Linked DNA regions of Stegostoma tigrinum. The protein of the gene in region 3 binds, or shares a complex with, the protein of the main gene of each other region. Links are inferred from orthologs where the notes say so. Each region holds a gene or a part of one and is shown on either strand. Other genes may lie near its edges.

Region 1 (7,102 bases), on a different chromosome or scaffold from region 3:
TCAGCATCTGTGAAGGAAAAATCAGAGTTAACATTTCGGGTCTGGTGGCCCTTCCTCAAAACTGATGGTAGTTAGGAAAACATTGGTTTATATGCAGAAAACAAGGAGGGGAAAGGCTTAGGGAGTAAACAATAGTGGGGATAGAGCCCAGAGAGAGAGAAGAGTAGTTGGCTAGACAATGAACTGATAATGATCTTGCTAGGAGGGTGAATAGATGTTAATGCGGACTGTTAGTGTCTAACAATAGGTAGTGTACAATGGCAGACTATGTGATAACAAGGCCCGGTGTGTACGGTAGGGGGCTAGGACATGGGAGAGTTTACGTCCTAAAATTATTGAACTCGTTATTGATTCCGGAGGGCTGTAGGGTCCCCAAGTGGAAGATGAGGTGTTGTTCTTCTAGCTTATGCTGAGCTTTGATGGTACACTGCAGCACGCTTGGTCAGGGAACAGGATGGTGTTTTAAAGTGGGAGGCACTTTACAAACAGGACTTTCTGGGCAGACCCATTGTTTTAGCCTGTTTCTGCTCCACAGAACTCATTTCTTTCTACCGTGACTCAGTCTTTTCTCCCTTGGTCCAGTCCCCGCCAATGTATATCCGTAATTCTCCTGCTGTTTTATACCAGTTTCAAAATTTCTAGTTTGCCAGTTCTGGCCGCCTCCTCTTTACCATATAGATGCAAACCCTTTACATGTTCATTCCCATTTCCGAATGGTCTTAGGGTTTTCCGCTTCTTCCTGGAGCAAAGGCCTGAACTGTCCCCACCCGCCACCACTCTCCTCTGCTTGGCTGAACTCATCCTTACCCTCAACAACTTCTCTTTAACTTTTCCTCATTTTCTTCAGTTCAGAGGGGTGACCATGGGTACCTGTCTGGGCCCCATCTATGCCTGTCTCTTCATGGGGTATGTGGAACATTCCTTGTTCCAGTCCTATTCCAGCCCCCACCCACAACTCTTTCTCTGATATAACAACGATATCATTGGTGCTGCTTCTCTCTCTGTTGTCTAGAATTGGAAAAGTTTGGTGATTTTGTTTCCAAATTCCACCCTGCCCTCACTTTCAGCTGGTCTATCTCCGACTCCTTCCTTCCCTTTCACAACATCTGTTTCCATTTCTGGGGATAGATCGGCCACTAATATCCACTCTAAACCCAGGAGGGCTAGCAAGAAGGGAATGTACTCATTTAGTGTTTCAACTATTGTGAAAAGCTAAGCCTGAGTTAAGCCTGACACTCTCAGTTCTCATTCTTTAAACTATTTACCTGATTTATCCATTTACTTATACCTATGCAATATTATTCAACGTTTTGCCCATACATCTATTTGCCCATAAAGTTACGTTGTTGCTGAGAGGGTCAATTTGCATTTGCAGGTGTATTATATTTCTAAAGCAGTTTCCATTCTTCAATTTATTTTTTTGTAGTAATTGCCTTAGAAATGAATTGGGAACATAGCTAGTACATTGAAATAAATGTATATCAAGACATATGACATGTAGCCATGAAGACTGGAGTACTAAAATGCTTTTTTGTCTGATGCTAGTTCAGTGATGAGAAGCAATAGCAGAATGGTCACATTTCTGAGCTGGTAAATACAGAGAGTATATTAAAGATCAGGAGACTTGAACTCTGTTGCCACATGGGAACTTAAACTTAATTAAATAAGGTCAGAAATCACATGACAACAGGTTATAGTCCAGCAGGTTTATTTGAAAACACAAGCTTTCAGAGCCTTACTCCTTCTTCACATGTTAGTGAGAGAGGTAGTATCAGACACAGAATTTATAAGTAAAAGATCAAAGGGTCACACTATTGATGAGGATGTACTAAACAATATTTTAAAACCATGCAGATGCTATAACAACAGATGAATGGACACCACGCAACAATTGCCAGGCAGAAATGTTCCCTCCCAGTGGGGGACGCTTCAGTAATCAAGGACATTCGGCCTCAGATCGTCGGGTAAACATCCTCCAAGTTGGACTTTGGGTTACACAACAGCACAGAGTCACCGAGCAGAAGCTGGTAGCCAAGTTCAGTACCCATGAGGACAGCCTCAGATGGGATCTTGGGTTCATACTGCACTACCAGTGACCCCACCACACTTTCTGTTTTGTTCAAAAAGCACACAATTCATAGACAGTCAATTTGGTGTTTTATAAATTCCTCATTTAGAAATAAAACCAGTCTGACTCCAAACTAAAACACAAAAATGATTCTAAACAAGGGCTCACACCTAAGTCGCATTGTCTGATCTAAAATGTCCCTCTTCTTGACACTGGTAAAGCCTTTGGTTCTCACAGGACAGTGACTTGAAAGGAATTCAGGGATTTACGTATACATAATAATCAATTAAAATTTTCAACTGGTTAATGATTTAACAGCATCTTAGATTTGTTTGGTACATCCACATCAATGGTGTAACCTTTTGATCTGTTACTTGTAAATTCTGTGTCTGAGACTACCTCTCACAAACACCTGAAAAAGGAGTAAGGCTCCGAAAGCGTGTTTTCAAATAAACCCATTGGACTATAACCTGGTGTTGCATGATTTCTGACCTTGTCCACCCCCCTACTACCACATCTTAATTAAATAAATAAACTGAATTATTTTAAACAAACTTGAGGCACATTTGTCCTTTAGGGAAATAAATTATCCTTCATAGCTTAACCTGTTTGTGATCACAAACCTGCATCAAAGTTCCTGCCAATTTTCACTGCAGATTCTCCCAACCTGCAATAACAAGGCGTAGAGCTGGATGAACACAGCAGGCCAAGTAGTATCAGAGGAGCAGGAAGGCTAATGTTTCGGGCCTAGACCCTTGTCTAAACCTGAAACATCAGCCTTCCTGCTCCTCTGATGCTGCTTGGCCTGCTGTGTTTATCCAGCTCTACACCTAATTATCTCAGATTCTCCAGCATCTGCAGTTCCTACTATCTCTCCCAACCTGCAGGCAGTTTGTTTTATTCACATTTTCTGTTGTGTATACCATTCATCAGTCCACATTATCAGGAATCCTTATAAGAACACATGGAAAGCAATATCATTTTTAAGGGATGTTTTTTCTTAATCAACTGATTAAAGAAATCGGGGCTGTTTTCCTTGGAGAGGAACAGGATGAAAGGAGATTAATGAAGTTTTCAAAATCACAAGCAATGTGGTCAGAGTAACATGGAAATAGACAACACAATGTGCAGCTAGAGGAACACAGCAGGCTAGGCAGCAGCAGAGGTGCAGGAAAGTTGATATTTTGGGTTGGGACCCTCCTTCAGAAATTTCCTGACCTGAAACATCAACTTTCCTGCTCCACTGATGCTGTCTGGCCTACTGTCTTTCTCCAGCTTCACACTGTGTTATCTATGACTCCAGCATCTGTAGTTCTCACTATCTCAAAGTAACACTCTAAAGGACAAAGAATGAGGGGCACAGAGTTAAAATCATTTGTAAAAGAAGTAAACACAATATGGAAAAAAAAACTTACTGTGTAGTTCAGGTTGGGAGTTCATCGTCTATGGCAGAGACAGGTTCAATAGAGGCAGTCAAGAAACGACATGCAGGTGATGTGGAAAGTGTAGAAAAATGAGTCATGATGCCCATTTTAAGAGCTGGTGCAAACAACAGTCCAAACAGCATTTTTCTGTACCAATACAATTCTGATTCTGCGGTTGACTTTTTGTTGCCCTCTGAAATGCACCCAGTTGCATTCAAGAAACTAAGTGATTCAGGATGAGGGATTAAACATAATGTTAAAATAGATTGAGCATTCTATTTGGTTTTGAACAAGACATGGCTTGAGATTGAATGTACTTCTATATTTAAACAAAGTCTTTCGATTTGGCATCTGTGCCATTTTATCTGTCTTAAGGAAAACTTTAAAAATAAATACGGGTAAAGATGATAATAGGGACTCCAGATGCTGGTGAATCCGTGATAACAAGGTGTGGAGCTGAATGAACACAGCAGGCCAAGAAGCATCTTATGGGCAGGAAAGATGATGTTTCGCGCCAAAACTCCTTTTCTGATTAAGGGTTTAGGCCTGAAACGTCAGCTTTCCTGCTCCACACCCACCACGTGTGGCTGGTGACGCGGACGTCTCTCTGGAAACCCCTCAACATTATCCGTAACAGTTGCTCGGCTTTGCGCGCGGGCTGGTGACGTATGGTTGAATGGACTGAGATCTGTCTCCGAGTAAGATGGCGGACGAGGAGGACGAGCAGCCGGTGAGTCTGGCTCTTGAACTTCACTCTCTTTCAGCATGTTCACGGCTCGGATCGATGTCTCTTGCCGCCAGCAGCAGCAACGAAACGCCCTGAATGACGGTGACACTGAGCTATTTGCTAATTTCAGCAGCCATAGTCTGAAATCAGCAAAACAATTAAAAATCGGGAGCTGCAAACGACCCTACTTTTCTGTGATGATAGGAACTGCAGATGCTGGAGAATCTGAGAAAACAAGGTGTGCTAGGCCTGCTGAGTTTCTTCAGTATTTTGTTCTTACGTTTTCTGTTTCTGTAACTTTCAGATTCCCAGCTTCCGTGGCATTTTTCATTTTTTTGTTACTTGTTTTGAGTAACAGAGTATGTGCTGTGTGAAAGGTATGAGGTGTGGAGAAATTAGGGTTATAATAGTGGATTTTTAAAAAATCATAGCGTGGGTGTCATTATTGCCCACCCCTGATTGATTTGAGAAGCTGGTTATCAAACACTTTCTTGAACTACTGCAGTCTGTGTTTTATTTATTTAAAAAATATACTTTATTTATAAAATATCTTTATATACACCTGCAGCTCCTATGGCAGTTCAATTCTGTAGAGACCATATGAAAAAGCAAACAAACGTGGAAGTTTGACTCTATCCAGCAAACAAACCAAAGGCCTTTCTTACTTGATCAAGATCACATTTACATATATTTGAAGCATCGAGAGGGTCTGATGGTTGAACAGACCTCCATTTAACTTTGGCAGAAAGACCCTAAACGATGCCTTGGTGGCAGCTGTCCCAAAGCTTTAGTGCATCCCTCAGCATGTAGACCTGTACCTCGGAATATGCCTATCTGGAGCACTCAGTCAGGATCAACTCCTTTTTCTGGAAGACCAACAAGTTTCCGGCAGACCAAAGTGTTTTTCACCAAATTTATGATCCTCCAGGTGCAGTCCATGCATCCTTAGGAACAGATCATAGAGCACAGAGTCCTGTGTCACAGAGCTGCTCAGGACAAACCGCGACAAAAATCACTGCATCTTTCTCCAGACTTCCTTTGAATAGGCACATTCCAGCAGGAAATGTGTGACAGATCTATATCCTCTGCAGCTGCTATGAGGGTAACATGTGGAGGTACATGAAGAATCTCAGGTTTTTAAATTTGATTTATTCTTGTCACGTAGTTAAAATTGACATTCAAACTTGCGTTGTTCTATTTACATTTCATAAAATTGTTACATGTAAATATGCATTTCACACATTTTCTGAAGCCACCTTCAATTTGTACATTTCAAGTATGTATTTCTCAGGAGGATGCATGAACACATTCAAGTGATTTGTATCATTGCTTACATTAGGAGCAGTCATGGCCAGGAGGTTGAATTAGTTTGCTTGGTCTTGATTTCTAGGATTAATTATACTTGGATACAGAGGAGGAGGCTCAATCCTATGATTATGTCAGTTATGTCTTGATTCATGCTGTGCTTTGAGAGAGGCTGGCGGCTGGTTGGACTGTGAACAAGTTGTGAGAGATAATGGGAACTGCAGATGCTGGAGATTCCAAGATAATAAAATGTGAGGCTGGATGAACACAGCAGGCCAAGCAGCATCTCAGGAGCGGCTTTCTCTACATTGGGGAAACCAAGCGGAGGCTTGGGGACCGCTTTGCAGAACACCTCCGCTCAGTTCGCCACAAACAACTGCACCTCCCAGTCGCGAACCATTTCCACTCCCCCTCCCATTCTCTTGATGACATGTCCATCATGGGCCTCCTGCACTGCCACAATGATGCCACCCGAAGGTTGCAGGAACAGCAACTCATATTCCGCCTGGGAACCCTGCAGCCATATGGTATCAATGTGGACTTCACCAGTTTCAAAATCTCCCCTTCCCCCACTGCATCCCTAAACCAGCCCAGTTCATCCCCTCCCCCCACTGCACCACACAACCAGCCCAGCTCTTCCCTCCCACCCACTGCATCCCAAAACCAGTCCAACCTGTCTCTGCCTCCCTAACCGGTTCTTCCTCTCACCCATCCCTTCCTCCCACCCCAAGCCGCACCCCCAGCTACCTACTAACCTCATCCCACCTCCTTGACCTGTCCGTCTTCCCTGGACTGACCTATCCCCTCCCTACCTCCCCACCTACACCCTCTCCACCTATCTTCTTTACTCTCCATCTTCGGTCCGCCTCCCCCTCTCTCCCTATTTATTCCAGTTCCCTCCCCCCATCCCCCTCTCTGATGAAGGGTCTAGGCCCGAAACGTCAGCTTTTGTGCTCCTGAGATGCTGCTTGGCCTGCTGTGTTCATCCAGCCTCACATTTTATTATCTGTGAACAAGTTGTGTTGAGTTTTCAAGATTGACTTGATTTTTAATATTTTCACAGTTTGTGACAAACTTGTCCCATTTTCACATTTCTTGCATATGCATATAGTTCCATCCAGAATGATGCCCTGAATATTACTTGCCTTTCCCCTGTTTTCCAGTTTTGAAAACATTTTTATTTTTCAAATTAAGGATGAAAGCGTGGATTATAATGAACCAATCCCTGGGAAGGCACATGTAGTAATGAATGTGGAAGTAGGGATTTGAAGTGGTGTTGAATTGCTGTGTTAAGAAAGTGATGGGGAACAGTGGGATTGGTTTAAAATTAAAGCTGAAAAAGCCAATCATTTGCAGGACAAAAATACAGCATATTTGTGGGGGAGGCTGAATGTAGTGTTAGTGCTGTGGCTGGAAACTGCAGATAAAGGAGCTATAACAAAACAGGAAATGAGGCTTAGCACAGAGAGCTTGGGAGGGATATCTGCAACCAATGGAAGGAGAAAGAGATTGGCAATCAGTGTGTGGATTGGAATGAGATATATACAGCCAGTAGGATTAGTGACAGGAATTGAAATC
Region 2 (7,360 bases), on a different chromosome or scaffold from region 3:
TGAGGGATAACTTTTTCATGCAGAGGGTGGGATGTGCATGGAACAAGCTGCCAAAGGAAGTGGAGGAGATGAGTACAATTACATTTAAAAAGGCATCTGAAAGTGTATATGAATAGGAAGTGTTTAGAGGGATATGGGCCAAATGCTGCAAATGGACAACGTCAGATTGGGATGTTTGACTGGCGTGGATGAGTTGGACCGAAGGGTCTGTTTTGCGCTATACGACACTGACTCTATAAGCGCAAGATGTACGGTGAAAGCAGTACTCACCTAAAGTTTTCTTTCCTTTTAAAGGTTATGTTCAGATGATACTTGTTCAACATAATTCATAATTTTAAACAAATTTCCCATGGGAATCTAAGCTTTACTACTGTAGCTGAAAATACTCCAGATGCAAGTCAAACTTTACAACTGCAAAATTTAAGCGATCAATCTAGCTCTTCTATTTGTTTAAACAATTATAGCAAAAAAGCTTCATCTGCTGCTCAGTGCACTTTTTTGAAGTCAGCGTGATGATAACCACGTCTGATTAACTTGGTATTGATTCCAGTTTGACAATGCAGTAGCAAATGCAGGAACTACAAGTGATAATTTTGTAGACATTAGTCATAATTCCACAATATTAGATCTTAAATCACCAATTAGTACCTCTTGGTCACAGGTGACAAAAGGGAAATTGTAATACCACATAAGCAAAAATAATTTAAATAATTATTTTAATAATCCTTATCAGCTCTATTCGGTGTTATAGTCCACTCATTTCAGAGCAAAACTTCAATATTAACATGCAATTCATCAGCTGAATCAGTTATCTGTCAGTAAGCACAGCAAGTATTTGTTACTTTTAATTGATTCTTAAAAAAGTCTTTGCAGTTTTGTTCAACTTCTGAAGGCTACGGAAAGTGCTGGTGAATATTTATATACTGGATTTAAAGTTTAATAGTTGTACATTGGCAGCAGTGTTTTGCACACCGAAAAATAAAACTAACTTTACCAACTGCTAAGATTACTTACTCACATAACAGAAATTCATCAACACAGCCACGATACTGCAGGAGGTAAATGCAAGTTTCCACTACATACAAGCTATACAAGCCCTATAATGATCAATGCTTTAACGTGAACAAAGAGCTGGATCTGCAAGTGATTTCACTCTGATCACCTGGAAATGAGTAGAATTACAACTGTAGACTGTAATGCCATTAACATTATATACACAAGGTTAATTGTTCAGTATGTTAAAATTAAATTAACTTCCACTGTGACACTATCCTTTTATATTCTGCTAGTCAGAAATGCTAATTTATGAAATTGTTAGGCTGTATTATAAATCATTTGGAAAATACAAACATTTTTTAAACTGCCTATAATTTTGCGTCACTGTAGTCTATGGAGACAGTTGACAGCCCATTGCACATTACGTTTTCCCACTTTGATTTAATTGCCTCTGACAAAACTATAAGTAAATATTCTAAAGACTAGCATTAAGCTGGAACAGAAAATAAGTAATTTTTCAAATTTCTTAATAGTACAAGAAAGCACAAGCCACTGACCAATATGATCTTATTCTCACCTGGGGGAATTTGAATATTTTGAATGTTTGGTTGATGCTGTTGGGGTTGAGGGAGACGGGGAGCTATAACTTGCGGTGTTATTGTTGTCCTTGGGCCAGTGTTCACTGCTGCTGTCCTTGCCATAGTTTGGGCAATTGTGTTAATGGTTCCTTTGCCCATTCCAACTGGCGTACCAACTGATTGAGTGGAAATTCCTCCAGGATTGGATGCCACATTCTGAAGTCCACTTTGTATCGTCTGACCTATTACCATAGTACTTGTGTTTGACTGATTGTTTAAAGTGGTCACCGCACTACCAGTTGTTGATGTCAATATTCCTGCACTGAGAGTCTGCTGTGGTGTCTGTATAATTGTTTTGGGCTGTAACTCAGATTTGATAACCTGTCCACCAGTGGACAAAGAAGCGTTGCTTGACAAACTAGAAGACTGACTGTTTAAAGTCAGAAGTGAAGTCTGATGTGGAGCTCCAGTGCCACTAGGTGCTGACAAGTTAGTTACACTAACTGTTGAGTTCAATATAGTACTACTACCATTTGGTGCTGATGCAACTGGCAGAACTGGGCCACTGTGCGCTGGTGGTCTCACCAATGTCACTGTGGGTCCTGCTGCCTGTGATGAAACAACAGTTGAAGGAACATTCTGTGTGCTGACAAAAGACGTCTGAATAACAGTGTAGACAGAACTAGAGACTGGCAAAGACACTGCTGGCAACCCTGTATTAACTGTGTTTTTTACAACAGATCCAGGTCCATTATTGACCACCGTAACAGCTGGCAAGGTAGTTGCAGCTGCTGAACAAGTAAAAGTGGTGGCATTTCCTGCATTGTGAGAGTTTATCGCCATTCCATTATTCCCATTAAGAGTTTGTACGTTGGAGGTGACAGTTTTCACATGGTTGGACACTGGGGTTGCCATTGCACTTATCACCACCGATTTTCCTTGACCGATGCTGCCTGAAGCTGATGTTTCCGACGATCCTGTCACTGCCGCTACTGCCGCTGTACTCTGCTCCTGTTCTACTCCTGGAGCCTGGGACCTTGCATTATTGATAACAACACTTTGCTGTGCCCCACTCCCCGCCGTCGTACAGGGCAAAACCCCACTGCCAAATGTGTTCTGCGAATTAATCTGTGCGTTTTTACCCTCAGAGCTCTCGTCCACTTTGATTTTGGCTGCGGTGGAAACCTCAGCTCCTGCCAGTCCCATTTTGTTCTCTGCTGTTTGCAGCTCAACATTATTGCTCACCATCCCGGGTGTGTTTTCCACGTGATTATTCACCACCTGCGCCCTTATTCCGGCCTGTTCCGCCGCGTTATGGCCCGTAGCCGCCAACTGGGACTCCAGGGAGCCGACTAAGTCGCTCACCACTTTCTCATCCACGTCTGAGAAGAACACATCGTCCAACAGATCTGAAGCCCCCGCCGCCATCTTAAGGCAGAACTCTTGTTTGACTCGGACCGCGCATGCGCACCGGGCCGTGTTGTTGGGGGTGACGTCAGAAGTGGGTCGGCAGCCGCCCTCCGTCATTGGTCAGCTCCCGGTTTAAAGCGCCGGCGAATGAAGGAACGCGTTATTGGGCTGTAGAATGACTGTGCCGAGCGGGCTGGAGAGGCGCCGCCGAGCAACCACACGAAGGCAAACGCTTTAATCCCGCTTGGTCCTGCCCGGGAGCCTGACATCTCTGACCGCCTTGATGGTTTCGGCGAGATTCGCGTCAAAAGCGACCGTTTTCCGCGACTTTTCTGATTTTATCTTTGTACATTATTGTGTGCAAGATGGCTCCCTGGCTTCAGATGCTAAAGGGCGCCACACCTGGTGGTGTGTGTGGAAACAGCAACTTGTCTCATCCTCTTTTTCAGAGGACATGTTAAACCTGCTTTAATTTTAATTCTACAGGGATCTGTCAGCGCACAACTGGACTAGGCGCTAGTTTGTTCTCCAATCGAATAACTTTTATTCGAAAGAATAAACGGATGGAGCTTTCGGTTGACTTTATCTCTCCTGTGATTAAAAAAGTTAACGTTTCGAGTTACGTGGCTAGCTTAGTTCTGAAGAGTCACTGGACTCGAACCATTAACTTTTCTCTTCACAGGTGCTGGCAGTCCTGAAGCTTTTTCCAGTAACCTCTTTCTTTGCTTCTTACGTAGTAAGAACTGCATATGCTGGAGTCAGGTAGCTGTGCAGCTGGAAGAACACAGAAGGCCAAGCATCATCAGAGTAGGAAAGCTGACGTTTCGGTTCGGGACCTTCCTTCAGAAAATCGGATCTTCGATATCCGTAGTTCTCTATTTCAGTTTTTTTTTGCTGCTTGGATGTTGTATAACTTGCTTTATCAGGATGTGGTCTCAGATTGGGTTATTGTTTTTGCTTTAAGTCTTTTCTGGCACATAATGTTCAAAACCACTTAGGAAAAAAGCTGTTTGAGCATTAGTTTGTTCTGTGTTCTGTACAACAAGCTTCAGTTTAAAATTATGCTACTTATTTTCAGTCTAAGATTAGAGCTCTCCCATATCTTTGGGAAGAAGTCTGCCGTTGGCTTGAAAGGTAAGCAGTCTTTATTTCTTTGGTGCTTGCTAGTATTTAGACTAAATATTGAATGTCTGAAGTCTAAAGGCAGTGTTCTGATTTAGAATGCTGTAGTATTGTTCAAAACTACACTAATGTAAAACTAGTTACTCTAAACATCTTTCAGCTGTCAAGTGAAAGCTGTCCTTGAATGGTTTTGTGATTATGCATAAAGCAATGGACTGTTCACATTTATGGGAAACTTAACTGTGGCATCTTAAAAGGAAAATGTTTCTGATAATATCACCTTGATTTTAGTAAATAAGGGAGACCAATTGATGAAGTAGACAGAAAAGCAAAACTTTTCTGACACCCCAGCTTATAGAACACTGGACTTTAAATAGAGTCACTTTAAAAAGGATATTGTAAATCAGTGAGAAGCTCATCAAGTCTCCATGAGCATGGGTCAGAACAGAACCTGGTCATTTGGCCCACGTTGTCTATGCTGACTAGTTCTCTAAACTAGTCCCTCATGCCTCAACATTTCCCATCAATGGACCTGTCCAAATGTCTCCAATTGTAACTGTACCTGCCTCTACAGCTCCTGACTACTCATTCATGTTGTGCCACTCTGGGGGGGAAAGTCACCACTCACCTTAAAGCTGTGCCCCCTCTAATATCTGACTACCCTGTCTGCAGGGGTGGGAAAGACTGCAACTATTCCTATCCATACCTGGCATGATTTTTAGCCCTGTAAGGTCTCACCGTAGTGTCTGACACTCCAGTGGGGGAAAGGGGAAACCAGCTCTTCTCTCTTCTTCCCCCCCCCCCCCCACCCTTACTCAAACCTCTGTTTTACTAGCATACTTCAAGTATGCAAAAAATCAGCTTCCTGGCATGCTTCCCATAGCAGGACAACCAGAATTGGGTGCAATGCTGCAGATGTAATGTGTTGTACAGATGCAACATGACATCCCCCCCCCAAACTCTTGTACTGTATGCTGTGACTGAGGGTGAGCATGCCAGACTGTCTTCAGGACTTTGTGCTGCCACTTTGAAAGAACTGTACTCCTGTACCTGCAGGTCTCCTTTGTCAGATCTCCCCAGGATACTACCATTAAGTCTCTGTGGCTTAGCTTGCCAAAATGCAACACCTGTTTGTCTGAATTAAACTATCTGCTATTCCTTGGCCAACTAGTTTGTTGATCAAGGTCCTGTTGTACTGAGGTAACCACCTTCATTGCATGATCACAGAAATCTGTGATCTGCAAACTTGATCATGCCTCCTGTTCACTTCAATCATTCCTATAAATCAGAACCAGTAGACCCAGCAGTAATCCTTCCAGAACACCAGTAGTCACAGGCCTCTAAACAACCCTGTACCACCACCGTCTCCCATCAAATGACTTTGTATCCAATTGGCTCTTTCCCTGGGTCCTATGTGATCAAATGTTACTAACCAATCTACCAGGCAGAATCTTGCCAATGTAGACAGCAAAAAACTTGCTGCATTTGCCTATCTTGGTCATGTCTTCACTACAAGCTCAAGCAAATTTGAATGCTCCCAGCACAGCCATGCTGTTTATCTTCCTCTAATCAGTCATTTCCTTTCCAAATGCATAGATCCTGTCCCTCAATCCCCTTCAGCTCACCTGTCTAGTTCCCTGGCTTTTGCAGCCTTTGCTAAAAAAGCACAACACTAGCCACCTTCTGTCTTCCAGGACCTTGCCCATATTTGTCAATGATACAAAGCTCTCTGCTCTGCAATGCCCTTGGGTCCATTTGATCTGGTCCTGGGGCTTAACCACCTTGATGCACTATACCTTTACCTCGTGTGAGCTAAACTTTAAAGACACCATGAATTTGTGTACCCTAGCTTCCATGTTCTCCAGTGTAAACAAAAAACTGACTAAATCAGTTTAGGATCACATCCAGCTTTTGCAAATCCATGCTGAATGGTTTCCTTATCTTCAAGGGGCCCTAGTATCTTCCTACATACAAATTTTGTAGAATTTCTCTTGAATCCAAAGAACCTCATCAATGATCACCCATTTCTGCCTATATAGCATCACTGGACAATAATTAAGAGTGCCCCAATTTAAACCCCCCCTTCTATCCTCCCTACAGCATCTACACCCAAAATTGAGCTGCTAGCTTTCTCCCTCAGGCTGTTGTCCCAAACTAAGTTTCTAATGAAAGAATAGGTTACTTGTCTTGGTCTCTTTCTAACCCTGTGTAGAAACTGAAGATGTTGGTATGGTTTTAAATGGGTGTCTTCTCGAGGGACTATGCTGATAAGTGAGTGATTAATACTCACTAAATGTGAGGATCAGCACCACTGTTTACAGCCTGTCTGTAGTTTAGAGCCTGATGAAATTTTACCCTAGGCTGTTAAAGTTTCAAAGTTGAGCACTGACTGCATGAGTCCACTAAGTGATCCAGCAGATTGGAGCTCTGCCTCTCTTGGAAAAGCAGAGGGCTGACTGCTGACCAGTCAGCAGCACATTGGTGGAAATAAACTTTTATTGGTGTTGAGATTGCAAACTGACAGTTCAAAGGTGTGGATTAATAGCGATCAAGGAAAGACAGCACTGAGGGTGTTGTAGTTTGTGCTTGTCTGCATGCTTTTTAGCAAAGCTTTAACTTGATGTAACCTAACTCCAAGGGGATGTAGTTAACTTAGTATCTAACTTGCTGAGGAACAGGAACCAAAGCTTGAGTTTTTAATATGGAAGGCTGTTTCCAGTGCAGTTGCAGGATTCAGTACCTCTAACAATTTGGCTGCTATGAGGATAGCTATAAACTGCATGGAGACATAAATGACTGGGTGGATAGAAGTAACAAATGGAATTTGACCCTGGTGATGCATTTGAGGTTAAGTACAGTAAAGCAATCTTTGTAGAGCAAGTGAAATAGGTAAATTTTCTCTAAAATCAACATTGTCAGTATATGTTGAAGCATGACATTGGCTAGGTTCCATGCTTGTGCATTTCTAATCTAAGTTCCAGCTCTGAAAAGCATGGAGACTGGAAGGTCTTGCCAGAACTAGAAGAAATAAGTTTCCAGTCTAGGATTGAGCCTCTTTTCAAGAGGAAAAGTAGAGATTTGCTTAGCCCCTGGCTAGTGCATTGAATGGTTCTAATGACTTCTAAAGTCAGTGACTAGGAGGGTGTAGATGAAGTAACTAAACTTCTGAGTTGTAGGGGTGTGACTCTTCCTCTAAGATTAGTAGAGGCCAAGCTTTTCATCCAGCTGGTGTGGTGTTAGGAAACAAATGACAA
Region 3 (7,428 bases):
TAGGTGAGAGAAAGTCACATCCTTCCAGCGAAGAGTAATAGTAAACTTTTAAAGTGAATTAAATCCACCATCAATGGATGTTAAAGAGTTATTGTTTTGAGCTGAAAGTAACTTTTTTTGGAAAATTATATCTTTCTGTTAGATGCTGTCAGACTGGCTAGGTGTAACCAGCTTTTTCTCTTTTTATTTAAGTGCGTTTGATTTTACAAATCCATTCACGGATGTGGACATTGCTGGCTGGGCCGGATTTACTGTCCATCTCTAATTGGTCTTCAGAGGGCGATGAGCTACTTTCTCGAACTACTACAGTAAATTTACTTTAGGGACAACCACAGTGCTGTCAGGGAAGGAGTTCCAGGATTTTAACACAGCTACATTGCAGGAACAGCAATCTATTTCCAAACCAGATAGAGAGTCATTTGGAGGGTAAGCTGTAGATGGTGATCTTCCTGTGCATTTGCTGCCTTTGGCCTTCTAGGTGGTCTAAAGAGTCTTAGTGAATTTCTACAGTGCATTTTTTAAGTGTTAGATTGCTGCTACTGAGTATCGACTGTGGAGAGAGAATGGATGTTTATGGATTTAGTGCCAATCAATTGGGCAACTTTGTCCTGGGTGGTGTTAAGCTTCTTGGGCGTTAGAGCTGCAGTCATCCAGGCAAGTAGACAGTATTGCTTCACACCCCTGACTTGCGCCTTGTAGATTGTGGACAAGCTTTAAGGAGTTACTAGGTGGGGAGGTGATGGCCAAGTGGTAGAACTGCAGAACTGTTAATCCAGAGGCCAGACAATGTTCCATTCACACAGGTTCAAATCCCCCATGGCAGATGGCAAAAACTGAATCCAATAAGAATATAGAATTAAGCGCCTAATGATGACCATGAAACCACGGTCGATTGTCATAAAAACTCATCAGGTTCACTATGCCTTTTAGGGAAGGAAATCTGTCATCATTGTCTGGTCTGGCCTACATGTGACTCCAGATCCACAGCAATGTGACTGAACTTAACTACACTCTGGGGCAATTAGCGATGAGTAATAAATGCTGGCCTAGCCCACAAATGGATTTAAAAAGACGAACCACATACCACAGGGTGCCAAGTCTTCCACATGCTCTTATGGCCACAGTATTATATGACTTGTTCAGTTCAATTTCTGGTTTGAGAAGGCGATCAGTTCTTTGAGAGGTGACTAGTTCTTTGAGAAGGTGACCAAACAGGTAGATGAGAGTAAACCGGTTGATGTGGCGTACATGGATTTCAGCAAGGCATTCGATAAGGTTCCCCACAATAGGCTATTGTACAAAATGCAGAGGAATAGAATTGTGGGAGATATAGCAGTTTGGATCGGAAATTGGCTTGCTGAAAGAAGACAGAGGGTGGTAGTTGATGGGAAATGTTCATCCTGGAGACCAGTTACTAGTGGTGTACCACAAGGGTCGGTGTTGGGTCCACTGTTGTTTGTCATTTTTATAAATGACCTGGATGAGGGCGTAGAAGGATGGGTTAGTAAACTTGCAGACGACACTAAGGTCGGTGGAGTTGTGGGTAGTGACGAAGGATGCTGTAGGTTGCAGAGAGACAGAGATAAGCTGCAGAGCTGGGCTGAGAGGTGGCAAATGGAGTTTAATGCAGACAAGTGTGAGGTGATGCACTTTGGTAGGAGTAACCAGAAGGCAAAGTACAGGGCTAATGGTAAGATTCTTAGTAGTGTAGATGAGCAGAGAGATCTCGGTGTCCATGTACACAGATCCTTGAAAGTTGCCACACAGATTGACAGGGCTGTTAAGAAGGCATACAGTGTTTTAACTTTTATTAATAGAGGGATCGAGTTCCGGTACCAAGAAATTATGGTGAAACTGTACAAAACTATAGTGCGGCCGCACTTGGAGTATTGCGTACAGTTCTGGTCACCGCATTACAAGAAGGACGTGGAAGCTTTGGAAAGGGTACAGAGGAGATTTACTAGGATGTTGCCTGGTATGGAGGGAAGGTCTTATGAGGAAAGGCTGAGGGATTTGAGGCTGTTTTCATTAGAGAGAAGAAAGTTGAGAGGTGACTTAATTGAAACATATAAAATAATCAGAGGGTTAGATAGGGTGGATAGGGAGAGCCTTTTTCCTAGGATGGTGACGGCAAGCATGAGGGGGCATAGCTTTAAACTGAGGGGTGAAAGATATAGGACAGATGTCAGAGGTAGTTTCTTTACTCAGAGAGTAGTAAGGGAATGGAACGCTTTGCCTGCAACGGTAGTAGATTCGCCAACTTTAGGTACATTTAAGTCGTCATTGGATAAGCATATGGATGTACATGGAATATCGTCAGTTAGATGGACTTGAGATCGGTATGACAGGTCGGCACAACATCGAGGGCCGAAGGGCCTGTACTGTGCTGTAATGTTCTACAGTGACTTGTAACCCCATGAAGTTGATAGTAGAAGAAATGAAAGTTAAGGGGAGGTAGGTGGATTCGCTCTTCTTGGTGGCTAATGACAGTTAAGTACCAGACTATGCCACTTATCAGCCCAAGCCTCGATATTATTCAGGACTTTGTGCATATAGACATGGACTGCTTCAGTATCTGAGGAGTTGCAAATAGTGCTCAACATCGTGCAAACATCAGCAGACATCCCCAGTTCTGACTTTACGATGGAGTGAAGATCATCAGTGAAGCAGATGAAGATGGTTGGGCCGAGGACAGCACCCGGAGGAACTACTGTACAGACATACTAAAGCTGAGATGACTGACCTCCAACAACCATGAACACCCTTCTTTGTATCAGGAATGACTCCAACCAGTGAGAGATTTTCCCTATGATTCCCATTGACACTAGTTTTGTAAGGAGTTCTTGATGTAACACTCAGGGAACTGTAACCTTGATGTCAAGGGCAAACAGTCCCATCTCACATCTGGAATTCAGCTCTTGTGCCTCTGTCAGAATGAAGGCTGTAATAAGGTCAGGATCTGAGTGGCCCCAGATGATCCTAAACTCAATGACAGGTAACAAGTCACAGGCAGTCCCTGGGTTGCGAATGAGTTTGTTCTTGAATACTGTCACAGGTCGATTTGTACACAAGTCAGAACATAATGCAGGATGATATAAAATAGCCATTCCTAAGGACGAGATAATATTCACATATTGGATCTTCAAAATTAATATTAATTCACCCCTGTAAGGTATTGTGATCACAGCTACAAGCACTCATAAGTTAGTCATTCTTAAATTGGGGACTGCCTGTATTGCTAAGCAATAGCTGCTTGATTAAACTGTCAATAACCTCTTCCATCAACTTGCTGGTGTTTGAAATTAGTCTCATGGGGTTGCTAGGGTTTGTTGCCTCTGTGTACAGGACATACCTGGCCAATTTTCCACATTGTCCAGTACACAGCAGTGTTATAGTTGTCTTGGAATAACTTGGTGAACTCAGTGACAAGTTCTGGAGCACAAGTTTTCAGTGCTGTTACTGAAATGTTGTCAGTGTTCACTTCTTCAAAATAGGTTCATGGTTCTTTAGCATTCATCTAAGACAGTAGATAGAACCTTGGTTTAATATGTCATCTGAAGGGCAGCATTCCTGAGAGTGCAGCATCAGTCAGAATTGCATTATGTGTTAGCCAGGGTTGCATGCTCAAGTGTCCGGAATAGTGAGTGTGTTCTTCCCTAGACCATGGTTCAACTTTTTCACAATAAAGTTACACATCAGGTAACTGTAAATAAGTAAAATTATGATCTCATACCATTTGAAAACCAATCTTCAACTCTACAGTGACATTTTTTGGATAAAACTGAAAGGAAAACATTTCAATTGTGCAAAACAAAAACAAATAGATCAGAAACTTTGCAAGAGGAGTTTCAATGTAAACAATATATCTCACCAGAACTACTGACTGTCAATTTGACAGGCTTTGGACAATGCCCAGGAATAGGGGATTCTGAGCCAGGAGGCCTGGATTCAAGTTCCACCTGTTTGAAAATTGTGCCATAATATCTCTGAACAGGTTAATTAGAAAATATCAATAAGTTAAATCTGTGTGTAATGCAATGTCACATCACCTACCCGTGGTAAAGAGGAAGCCATTGGTCCTGGCAGTGGATAGATTTTGTAAGCAGTATCTTAGGAACTCTAAGAGGAAGGGTCAATATCTGACCAGCTAAGAGCTTGAAGCGAAACTGACAGGCAGCACCTCCATGCCCTCACAGACCCAATAGAAACTGTGCTGCCACTGTCTCTCTGCTAACCCCACCCACCTCTACAGGCTCACTGTCAAACCCTCTCTCTCCTCATTAGCCGTCGACCAAACTCTCCCTTTTTCATTAACCCTTACCCGCTCACTAACACTCCTTCCAGTCTCTCCCGCCCACTCTAACTCTCACCTTCGCTGCATTTACCCACCTCCCTCTCCGCTCCGCCCTAACTTCCGTTTCCGGTCCGTCACTTGACCACTTCCCTCCTCACCCCCTAACAACGCACGCACACGCTCCGGAACCATCCTCTCCACCGAATGCAGCAGGAATAGTCTTCCCCATCGCCCACGGAGTTGTCGGAACTTGGCTGGGCCTGTCCCTGGGAGAAGGTTTCCGAGGTTGAGGGCAGTGCTGTGTACCAGGAGACGAGAATCAAGTCCGGGCTGCTCTATGCCTCCTCCCCTCCAACGGGCTGTGACCTTTGGACACTCCCTGTCTCTTGTGATCCTGAGCCTTGGGCACTGCGGCCGATGGATTGACGGACGGGCCTGAGGAATATGGATAAAAAAGGCTCCGTGTCCTGGAAGAAGATGACAGGTGAGGAAGTTCAACCTGTGGTCCTGGCCGCCTCCTGTTTCTGTCACCCCAGGCCAGCCCCCACAAACGCTGCACAAGTCTGGTTAAATCAGGGGATGAGATAGTAGGAATTGCAGATGCTGAAGAATTTGAGATAACAAGGGGTAGCTCGACACCGGAAATAGTTTGTTTAGGCTAAACTGTGTAGCACTAACTTCATGTAGAGACATATCACTAGCTTACCGACAAGGTTGATGCCTATGGCATAAAAGGGACCAAGGCAGCGGTCACTCAGTGCAGTGGTGAACCTTTGTCAGTCTGAAGATCAAAATTGTACTTCCCCGAAGTTACTATTATGACTGTCACTTTATCTATATTAATGACCCTAGACTTGGGTGTCCAAGATGCAATATCACAAGTTCTTCTTATATTTATTCACGAGATGTGATCTTCACCACTGGAAACCTCTTGGTTGAACAGTGAGAAAAATAGCAGTCTGGTGGAATAGGCAGACATATAGCAGAAGGAAGTTGATTCAGACAAATGCAAAGAGGAACAACTTGGAATGAAGAATGTGGAAATGTAATGCAAAATAAAGTGTGCAATTCTAAGAGATTGCAGAAGCAAAGAGACCTGAGGGGGCATATGCACACAGATCATTAAATGTGGCACAGCACCTTAAAACTCTGGCTGAAAAAGCACAATGGGCTTTATAAATTGAGGCTTGGAGTGCAAAAGCATAGATATTATGACACCTTTTTAAAAAAAAGTCTGCCCTCAATTGGAGTTTTATGCCCAGTCTGAGTACCAAAATCCAGGAAGGATGAGAAAATTTTTGACAGGACTCAGAAAAGATTTAGAATTGAAGAATGGTCATAGCATAGAAGAAGGCAATCCAACCTATTGTTTCTGTGATGACTCTCTCCAGGATCAACTTGGTCCCACTAACCTGCCTGTTCCCTACAGCTATGCAAATTTCAGACAAATATCCAGTTCTGTCTTGACACCGTAATTGAAACTGCCTCCTGCACTCTTGGACATCCCTGCTCCTAACCACTTGCTGCAAAATAAATTCCCTGCATTGGGATCGTTTGGAGTGCTGATTGTCATCCGGTTCTTGACTATTCCACTAATGGGAAGTAGTTCACTGATTCTGTTCTGTCCAGATTCCCCATGATTTGCTCTTAGACTTATTGAGCTGTACAGCATGGAAACACAGCCTTCCGTCCAACTCATAGCAGATATCCTAAATAAATCTAGTCCCATTTGCTAGTGTTATCCCATGTCCCTCTAAACCTTTCCTATTCATACACTCATCCAGAAGCCTTTTAAATGTTGTAATTGTACCATCCTCCTCCACTTCCTCTGGCAGCTCATTCCGTACTTGCATGATCCTCTGTGAAAAATTTCCCCCTTAGGTCCCTTTGAAATCTTTTCCCTTTCACCTTATACCTATGTCCTCTAGCTTTGGACTCCCCCGCTCTGGGAAATGGTCTTGGCTATTCACCCTATCCATGCCCCTCATGATTTTATACACCTCTATAAGGTCACCCCTCAGCCTCTGATGCTCCAGAGAAAATAGTGTCAGCCTATTCAACCTTTCCCTGTAGCTTAAGCACTCCAACCCTGGCAGCATCCTTGTAAATCATTTCTGAGACACTAAATCCTTCCTATAGCAAGGAGACCAGAATTGCACACAGTCTTTAAAAAGTGGCCTGATCAACATCCTGTACAGCTGTGACCTGATCTCCCAACTCCTATACTCAATGCACTGACCTATAAAGGGATACATACCAAATACCTCCTTGGCTATCCTGTCTGGCTATGACTCCAATTTCAAGGAACTATACACCTACTCTCCAAAGTCTCTTTGTTTAGCTGTACTCCCATGGATCTTACCATCAAGTGTATACGTCCTGCCCTAATTTGCCTTTCCAAAATGCCCCACCTCATATTTATTTAAATTAAACTCCATCTGCCACTCCTTGGCTCTTTGGCTCACTCAGCCAAGGTCTCATTCTATTCTGAGGCTACCTCCTTTGCTGTCCACTACACATCCAATTTTGGTGACATCTGCAAATTTACGAACATGCATTTCTCCTGAGTTCACATCCAAATCATTTATGTAAATAACACAAAGCAGTGGACCCAGCATCAATCCTTGTGGCACACCACTAGTCACAGACCTCCAGTCTGAAAAGCACCACCCTCTGTCTTCAACCTTTGAACCAGTTCTGTATCCAAATGACTAGATCTCTCTATATTCCGTATGCTCTGACCTTGGTAGTCAGTCTACCATAAGGAACTTTGTCAAATGCCCTAGTGAAGTCCATATTGATCATGTCCATCACTCAGCTTTCATCAATCTTCTTCAAAAAACTCAATCATTAGTGAGACATGATTTCCCTCCCACAAAGCCATGTTGATTATCCGTAATCAATCCTTGCCTTTCCAAATACCTGTAAATCCTGTCCCTCAGGATTCCCTCCAACAACTTGACCACCACTGATGTCAGGCTCACCGGTCTATAGTTTCCTGGCTTTTCCTTACCACTTTTATCGAACAGCGACACCACGTTGGCTACCCTTTGCTTTTCCAGCATCTCACCTGTGGCTATCAATGTTACAAATATCTCAGCAAAGTGCCCAGCAATCACTTCCTTTGCTTCTGA
Region 4 (7,335 bases), on a different chromosome or scaffold from region 3:
GTTTCCTCCCTAACCTCTCTCAATATCTGTGGATACACCAGAGCAGGTCCCCATGATTTACCCAGTTTTGTATTTTCTAGGACCTCCACAGTTCCTCTTGTGCAAAGTGAACTGTTTTCAAAACATCAGTATTTTCCTTGAGTTCTCTAGCTGCCATTTCTTTCTCCACAGTCAAAACTGATGGTGTAAAACATTAATATCTCTCCTGTCTCCTGAGGTTCAACACAAAGATGACCCCTGCTCTCTCTCTAGCTGCTCTCTTCCTTATAGCATCGCTTTGTATTATCCTTCACCTTATCTGCCAAGACTTATCTCAATATCCCCTCTTTGCCTTCCTGATCTTGAGATTGCTGCTATACTGTTCAATATTCACTTGAGCCCAGTTGCCTATATGTAATTTGTTTCCTTTCTTGACTAGAACCTCAATATCTTTAGTCATCCATTGTTCCCTCGTCCTGCCAGTGTTACCTTAACTTAACCGGAGCATCATAACTCTGCACTGTTGTTTTCAAACTTTTGAAAGCTGCTCAGTTGCCAGTCGTCCCTTTACAGTCGGCTCTGCTATAACAACATGTTTCTTCAATGCAAATTGGCTTTAACATTAGATTAGATTAGGTTACCTACGGTTTGGAAACAGGCCCTTTAGCCCAACAAGTCCACACTGCCCCTTGAAGCATCCCACCCAGAGCAATCCCCCTATAACCCCCACACCCCTGAACACTACGGGCAATTTAGCATGGCCAGTCCACCTAGCCTGCACATCTTTGGACTGTGGGAGGAAACCGGAGCACCTGGAGGAAACCCGCGCAGACACAGGGAGAATGTGCAAACTTTACACAGGCAGTCGCCCGAGGCTGGAATCGAACCCGGGTCCTTGGTGCTGTGAGGCTACAGTGCTAACCACTGAGCCACCGTGATTGAAGAATTTAAACTGCTATTTGTAGTATGCAACCTTTCTTTACCTGCATTGGCTATAATGCGATTCTGGCCCCATTAGTTTAAGTGGTGTGGCTACTGCACCATTTTCTTATAATGCAGGATTGCATGAGAATGGATCTAACGTGTTACATCAGAACTGACAGTCCCTGTGAATAATCTTCTCCAACCAACTTTTGAAATTTCCTGTCTCATGCCATTAAAATTTGCTTACTCCAGTTGAAAACTTGAACATTTATGGGAAGCTTCTCCTTTTCCATAACTACTTTAAAACTAATTGAGTCATTAGGTAATAAAATGTGAGGCTGGATGAACACAGCAGGCCAAGCAGCATCTCAGGAGCACAAAAGCTGACGTTTCGGGCCTAGACCCTTCATCAGAGAGGGGGATGGGGTGAGGCTTCTGGAATAAATAGGGAGAGAGGGGGAGGTGGACCGAAGATGGAGAAAAGAAGATAGGTGGAGAGAGTATAGGTGGGGAGGTAGGGAGGGGATAGGTCAGTCCAGTGAAGACAGACAGGTCAAGGAGGTGGGATGAGGTTAGTAGGTAGGAGATGGGGGTGCGGCTTGGGGTGGGAGGAAGGGATGGGTGGGAGGAAGAGCAGGTTAGGGAGGCAGAGACAGGTTGGACTGGTTTGGGGATGCAGTGGGTGGAGGGGAAGAGCTGGGCTGGTTGTGTGGTGCAGTGGGGGGAGGGGACGAACTGGGCTGGTTTAGGGATGCGGTGGGGGAAGGGGAGATTTTGAAGCTCAAGAAGTCCATATTGATACCATTAGGCTGCAGGGTTCCCAGGCGGAATATGAGTTGCTGTTCCTGCAACCTTCGGGTGGCATCATTGTGGCACTGCAGGAGGCCCATGATGGACATGTCATCTAAAGAAATGGTTACCATTTCCACTCCCCCCTCCATTCTTTACAACCCTGCAGCCTAATGGTATCAATGTGGACTTCTTGAGCTTCAAAATCTCCCCTTCCCCCACCGCATCCCTAAACCAGCCCAGTTCGTCCCCTCCCCCCACTGCACCACACAACCAGCCCAGCTCTTCCCCTCCACCCACTGCATCCCCAAACCAGTCCAACCTGTCTCTGCCTCCCTAACCTGCTCTTCCTCCCACCCATCCCTTCCTCGCACCCCCATCTCCTACCTACTAACCTCATCCCACCTCCTTGACCTGTCTGTCTTCACTGGACTGACCTATCCCCTCCCTACCTCCCCACCTATACTCTCTCCACCTATCTTCTTTTCTCTCCATCTTCAGTCCACCTCCCCCTCTCTCCCTATTTATTCCAGAACCCTCTCCCCATCCCCGTCTCTGATGAAGGTTCTAGGCCTGAAACGTCAGCTTTTGTGCTCCTGAGATGCTGCTTGGCCTGCTGTGTTCATCCAGCCTCACATTTTGTTGTCTTGGATTCTCCAGCATCTGCAGTTCCCATTATCTCTGTGTCATTAGGTGTATGGTTGGGAATCACTGCAGGTCAGGCAGCATCTGAGCAGCCGGAAAGTCATTGATTTATGTCCTTTACCTTTTTATTTCTTTGTTCATACAAGCTTGTCAATATGACTAATCAGAAGTTACTACTTTTGAGGTTCTGTTTTTTTAATGTTCTATTTAACCTGTCTTGCACCTTCCTCAGTCCTGTCAAAGGGTTTTGGCCTGAAACGTTGACTTTCTTGCTCCTCAGATGCTACCTGACCTTCGAATTAGAACCCCTACAGTGTGGAAACAGGCTCTTCAGCTCAACAAGTCCACCCAGAACTTCAGAACATCCCACCCAGACCCATCCCCTGTAATCCACCTATTCTACATTTCCCTGAACACTATGGGCAATTTTGCATGGCTAATCCACCTACCCTGCACATCTTTGGACTTACAATGCTTTTCAAACCTTTCATCTATAGACTGTGGCTCCCAGTCTACAGGCCTTATTGTGTCCATTTCATTAGAGAAATATCAACTTGCATTTTCACTAGAAGATTTTTCAGAAATATCTTTTCTAGTTGTGGTAGTAATATTCTCCTTAATCAAAAAAGCCAGATTCCCCCCCCTTCCACCTCCCTTGCTACATCTCATCTAGCATCTGAAACTCGGAGCATGGAGTTGCTTGTCCCTCAGCCATTTCATAATAGCTGTTACATCACAATCCTACGTTCCTTAACGTGTCCTCAGTTTGTTAACCTTATCTTTAAGACCCATTGCACTGAAATTTAATGCAGTTTAATTCTTCAGAGCTACTTCATTCTTTGGGGTTTTACTGTCTTTTCTAATTGTTCTTTTCAGATTCAGAACCATCTTTCTGTTGATCCGTTACTTAAGATCCCTCTATCCCTCTAATAGTTTACAGTTTCCCTTAATAGACATAGTAAATCTCTCCACAAGGATATTGATCCCTTTCCGGTTCAGGTGATACCCATTCTTTTTGAACAGGTCTTCTCTGCACAAGAGGAAGTCCGCGATGTTCCAAGAACCTCGATCCTTGAATATTACATCACTTTTTCAGCCATTGATTTATGTCCTATATCCTTTTATTTCTTCCTTCATACAAACTTGTTAATGGAATTAAATTGGAGGGTACTGCTTTTGAGGTTCAGTTTTTTAAATGTTCTATCTAACCTCTTATATTCAGTCTGTAAAGCCTTAATCTTTTCCTTAACTATGTCATTCCTACGAATGTGTACATTAACTTCCAGCTTCTCACTGACCCTTTTAACAGTATGCTTTAAACATTTTGAGAAGCCCTTAATCCTTGCTCTAGGAGAAACAACATCTTATCCTAGATTCGTGCTCGCTGACACAGAATCTCTGTGTTTGGAGGTGTGGGGAGGTGGAGGTTGGAACGAAGAATAAAAATGGTGAACTGACAGTAGCGTGGATCTTGTAGCTGCTCCTGAGTTTGCAAACTTTCTTTTAGGTTTCTTATAGTATACTATTGAAATGTAGTAAAAATTTTTATTTTGAGTTATGTTGGTTCTTTTGTAGTCAAAAATCCAAAAAGCAAACACTTTTTTTTCCAAATAGTGTTTGCTGAGCTTTCGGAGAAGCTTTTGAATGGATAGCTCAAGTATTTTTTTAAAAATTATACGCTAAAAAAGTTATACATGTAGGAAAGATTCTTTTAAAACATTGCTGAAGAGATTTATTTAAATCACGGAGGAGGATTTTTTAAAAACAATTGTGTTTTTAGAGCTTTCAGAAAGACCTACAAGTTGATGGCTCTGGGGTGAGTTTTTTAATCAATGGATTGAAAGCTGTCTGCTAGACTACCTGAGGAGGAGTTTTTAATTTGATTGTTCAGCTAAGTGGTTGATTTTATTTAAGATTAAATGTTTGATTTTCTCTTTTTTTTGCATGCTTAGTATTCTTTGGGAAAATATAAGGTACTGTTGAAAGCTGCTTTTTAAGCTTGATGACATTGAGGGCATACAAGAGACAGATGCCTAGTAGATTTACAGAAGTGATTTCACAGCAGGATCGGTCAGATAGATGGGTGACTGTCAAGAAAGGTAAGAAGTCTGTTCAGACGTCTCCTGTGGCAATTTCTCTCTCAAACAGATAATTCAGTTTTGGGTACTGTGGGTGGATAGTCTCGGGAAAATAAAAGGTGGTCAGATCTTGGGTACTAGGGATGAATCTTGTAATAGGCGGGGTGTGACAATTTAAAAGAATAATTGCTATAGGAGACTGTTATTTGTTGAATACGGTACGGGGATTGGCTGCCAGGATTTGGAAAAGAGCTTGAATTTTTATTAAAAGGCTGGAGATATGGTTGGTACCAGTGATGTGTGAATTTTGATGGGCCATTTTGTCCTATTCTTTTTTGTATGTTTGTAATTTGGTTTAGGTTGACAAGGTGGAAATCTATAATGGCACGCTTTCAGCCTATGAACCAGAAATGTCATGCTTTGAATCTCAAATGTGCTGAGGTATTTTACTTCTCTTGGTTTAACTCCATCCTGAGCATCTGTGTAGTGCTGATGTGATTCTTATTCAGTAGAGGCAAAAGTAGTACTTAGAAGCCTACTGTTGGTAATGTGTATGTGTTCACTTGCAGAGTTTACCTGACATTTTCTTGTATCAAGTTGTTACAGTCCCATCTGATATAGCTGAAACAGTGCTCTTGCTTTAAGCACTGATTATAGTGCAAACTAAGTTTAAACTTGACACTGTGCCTGTGTCAAAATTCAGAGTGGGTTTGCTTCTGCAGTAAACTAAATTTGTTTTTTCATGCTTGGAAGGATAGTAGAGATGAGTAAACTCTTACCTTTTTAAAAAAAAAATTGGATGCACACTTGAAGCATTGTAATTTTCAAAGCTGTGGGCCTAGTGTGGGACAGTGGGGTTAGTGTAGATAGTGTATTTCAGGTGGTACAGACATGATGGGCCAAAGCGCCTCATCTGTAAAATTTCCCATAATACTCCAACATAATCACTGCAGTGATTTATAATGTGCTAGTGTGATTTTTCTTTTTTAATCTATTCCTCTTGTATGAGTTCAATTAATCATACTTTTTCAACCACTTTTATGGGTTTATTCAATTCGGCACCAAGGTGTCTCGCTGGTCATTGATTTTCAAAATCTTGTAATTTACTCTGTCCATTGATCAGTGTGCAACAGTTCACCTTCATGTTTAACTTACTTGGCCATACGTCTGTCCATTTTACCATCCTATCTTGATGGAGACTGCCACTGGTTTCACTGCCGTCTACTACTTTGCCACATTTTGCATCCACTGCATGTTTTATGATGCTACTCCCTAATCTTAGTCCGGGCAACTTATGTTAAAAGAAAACAAGAGGAAGGTCTGGTACACGTTTGTTTGGCACATTTGCCTTCCATCTTTGAAGCAGTAACACCTGCTGTAGACAGCAGGAACATTGAATGTGTTGTAATTGTCCTTCCAAGAGGCATTTGATAAGTTTATTAAGGAGGTGCAGACTGTGAATAACTTACTTTCTTGAATCCATCTACATATCTATTTGTGTACGTTGGTACACAATGCAGGGCAATATCAATAACTCATAAATATGAGGAGGCATTCGTATGTCAGATCTTTAAAATCATTGCTAGTATACCCCTGTATGGGATCGCACTTGTTACTATGAATGTTCAAAAATCAGGGATTGTGTAGATGATAACATTGGTAAGCATAGAACATGGGCTGGCTAACAAGTGAGCAGTAAGAGCTGATAGGTCTTTTTCAAACTGGCAGGATGTCATGTGTGTACCACAGTTTGGTGCTGTGGGCTTAACTCTTTACAATTGATGAAATGCTTTCGATAAAGGGACTGCAGGTGTAGTAACTGAATTTGAAGATACTAGTGGGAGAATCTAGAACAAGAAGTCAGGGTTTAAAAGTAAGAGGTTGCCTGCTTAAGACAGCAGAGAAAACACTATTTTCAAAATCCCTGAGGGTTAAACCTTCGCAATTCCTTTCGAGTGAATGCAGAATCTTTACCTGTGTACCAAAGATATTTAGGTAGGTTTTTGCTTACAAGGGATTGAAAGTTTATCTGGGATATGCGGGAAGTTAGAGTTGAGATTATAAACCGATTCGTCGTGATTTTATTGAATGGCAGACCAGGTCCGAAGGGCTGAATGCACTGTTCTTGTTCCTTGTTAATGTGTTCATAACAAATTTGTGCTGGCTGAGCTTGATTAGCGCACACCTTTTTGAATGAAAGCTTATTTTGTCAAATAACAAACCTATTTCCTGGCTTAATCCTCTCCCTCCTTTTGAATACTGAGTTTAATATTAATAATCCTACAGTTCCCCCACAACTGTATCTAATGCAGATTGAAAAATTGTGACTGTCTCTGCTATTTCTATTGTTGCTTCTTTCAACAATGCCATCTGCATTCTACTCGGACCAGGTGACTTAACTACCTTTACGGAATGATAATTTTTAAGAACATATTTTCTCTCTACAAGGCTTTTTGCAGCTTTCTTATTGTCTGCTTTCTTAGAAGACAGATGCAAAGTACTAATTTATTACTATGGCTGTGCCTTGTGGCTCTCCATGAAGGATGTTTTGGTCCTTACTAAGTCATAAGTATGTGTTTAAACTTGCATTTTAAAATATTTTAAGCTTCAACTTAATATTGCCATAACATTTGTAGTGATCATTCCTTCCCACCTTGCCCTAACTCTCTCAATGTTTCTCCTGTATTTTCTGCAGTCTTCATGGCTATCTTCTGAATGATACTTCTGACAAACAATAAGCACATTTTTAAAGCCCTTTCATAAGCACCAGACATCCCAAAGCAGTCTGCAGCCAATGAAGTTTTTTCGAAACTTTAAAAAAAATGAGTGTAGTAACTGTTATAACGTAGGAAACATGGCAGCAAATTTGTGCCTGAGAAACCTAAGAAACAGGAATATGATAATGATATTGGTTGAGCAC

The links.
Region 1: taf7 (region 3) and taf13 share a complex: the UniProt entries of both Homo sapiens proteins name them as parts of the TFIID basal transcription factor complex. The link is inferred for Stegostoma tigrinum from reciprocal best matches to the Homo sapiens genes TAF7 and TAF13.
Region 2: taf7 (region 3) and taf4a share a complex: the UniProt entries of both Homo sapiens proteins name them as parts of the TFIID basal transcription factor complex. The link is inferred for Stegostoma tigrinum from reciprocal best matches to the Homo sapiens genes TAF7 and TAF4.
Region 4: taf7 (region 3) and gtf2b share a complex: the UniProt entries of both Homo sapiens proteins name them as parts of the TFIID-containing RNA polymerase II pre-initiation complex. The link is inferred for Stegostoma tigrinum from reciprocal best matches to the Homo sapiens genes TAF7 and GTF2B.

Annotation. Positions count from the first base shown.
Region 1 is NC_081365.1:35,350,193-35,357,294, reverse strand, and holds the start of taf13 (transcription initiation factor TFIID subunit 13), read left to right. Parts: upstream 1-4,090; 5' UTR 4,091-4,195; coding exon 4,196-4,222; intron 4,223-7,102. UniProt on the Homo sapiens protein: The TFIID basal transcription factor complex plays a major role in the initiation of RNA polymerase II (Pol II)-dependent transcription.
Region 2 is NC_081372.1:17,927,102-17,934,461, forward strand, and holds the start of taf4a (transcription initiation factor TFIID subunit 4), read right to left. Parts: upstream 3,010-7,360; 5' UTR 3,003-3,009; coding exon 1,574-3,002; intron 1-1,573. UniProt on the Homo sapiens protein: The TFIID basal transcription factor complex plays a major role in the initiation of RNA polymerase II (Pol II)-dependent transcription.
Region 3 is NC_081368.1:72,085,301-72,092,728, forward strand, and holds the start of taf7 (transcription initiation factor TFIID subunit 7), read left to right. Parts: upstream 1-4,423; 5' UTR 4,424-4,738; coding exon 4,739-4,778; intron 4,779-7,428. Other genes in the region: zgc:101583 (magnesium transporter NIPA2), read right to left, coding at 4,054-4,074. UniProt on the Homo sapiens protein: The TFIID basal transcription factor complex plays a major role in the initiation of RNA polymerase II (Pol II)-dependent transcription.
Region 4 is NC_081361.1:89,377,271-89,384,605, forward strand, and holds the start of gtf2b (transcription initiation factor IIB), read left to right. Parts: upstream 1-4,322; 5' UTR 4,323-4,416; coding exon 4,417-4,436; intron 4,437-7,335. UniProt on the Homo sapiens protein: General transcription factor that plays a role in transcription initiation by RNA polymerase II (Pol II). Involved in the pre-initiation complex (PIC) formation and Pol II recruitment at promoter DNA.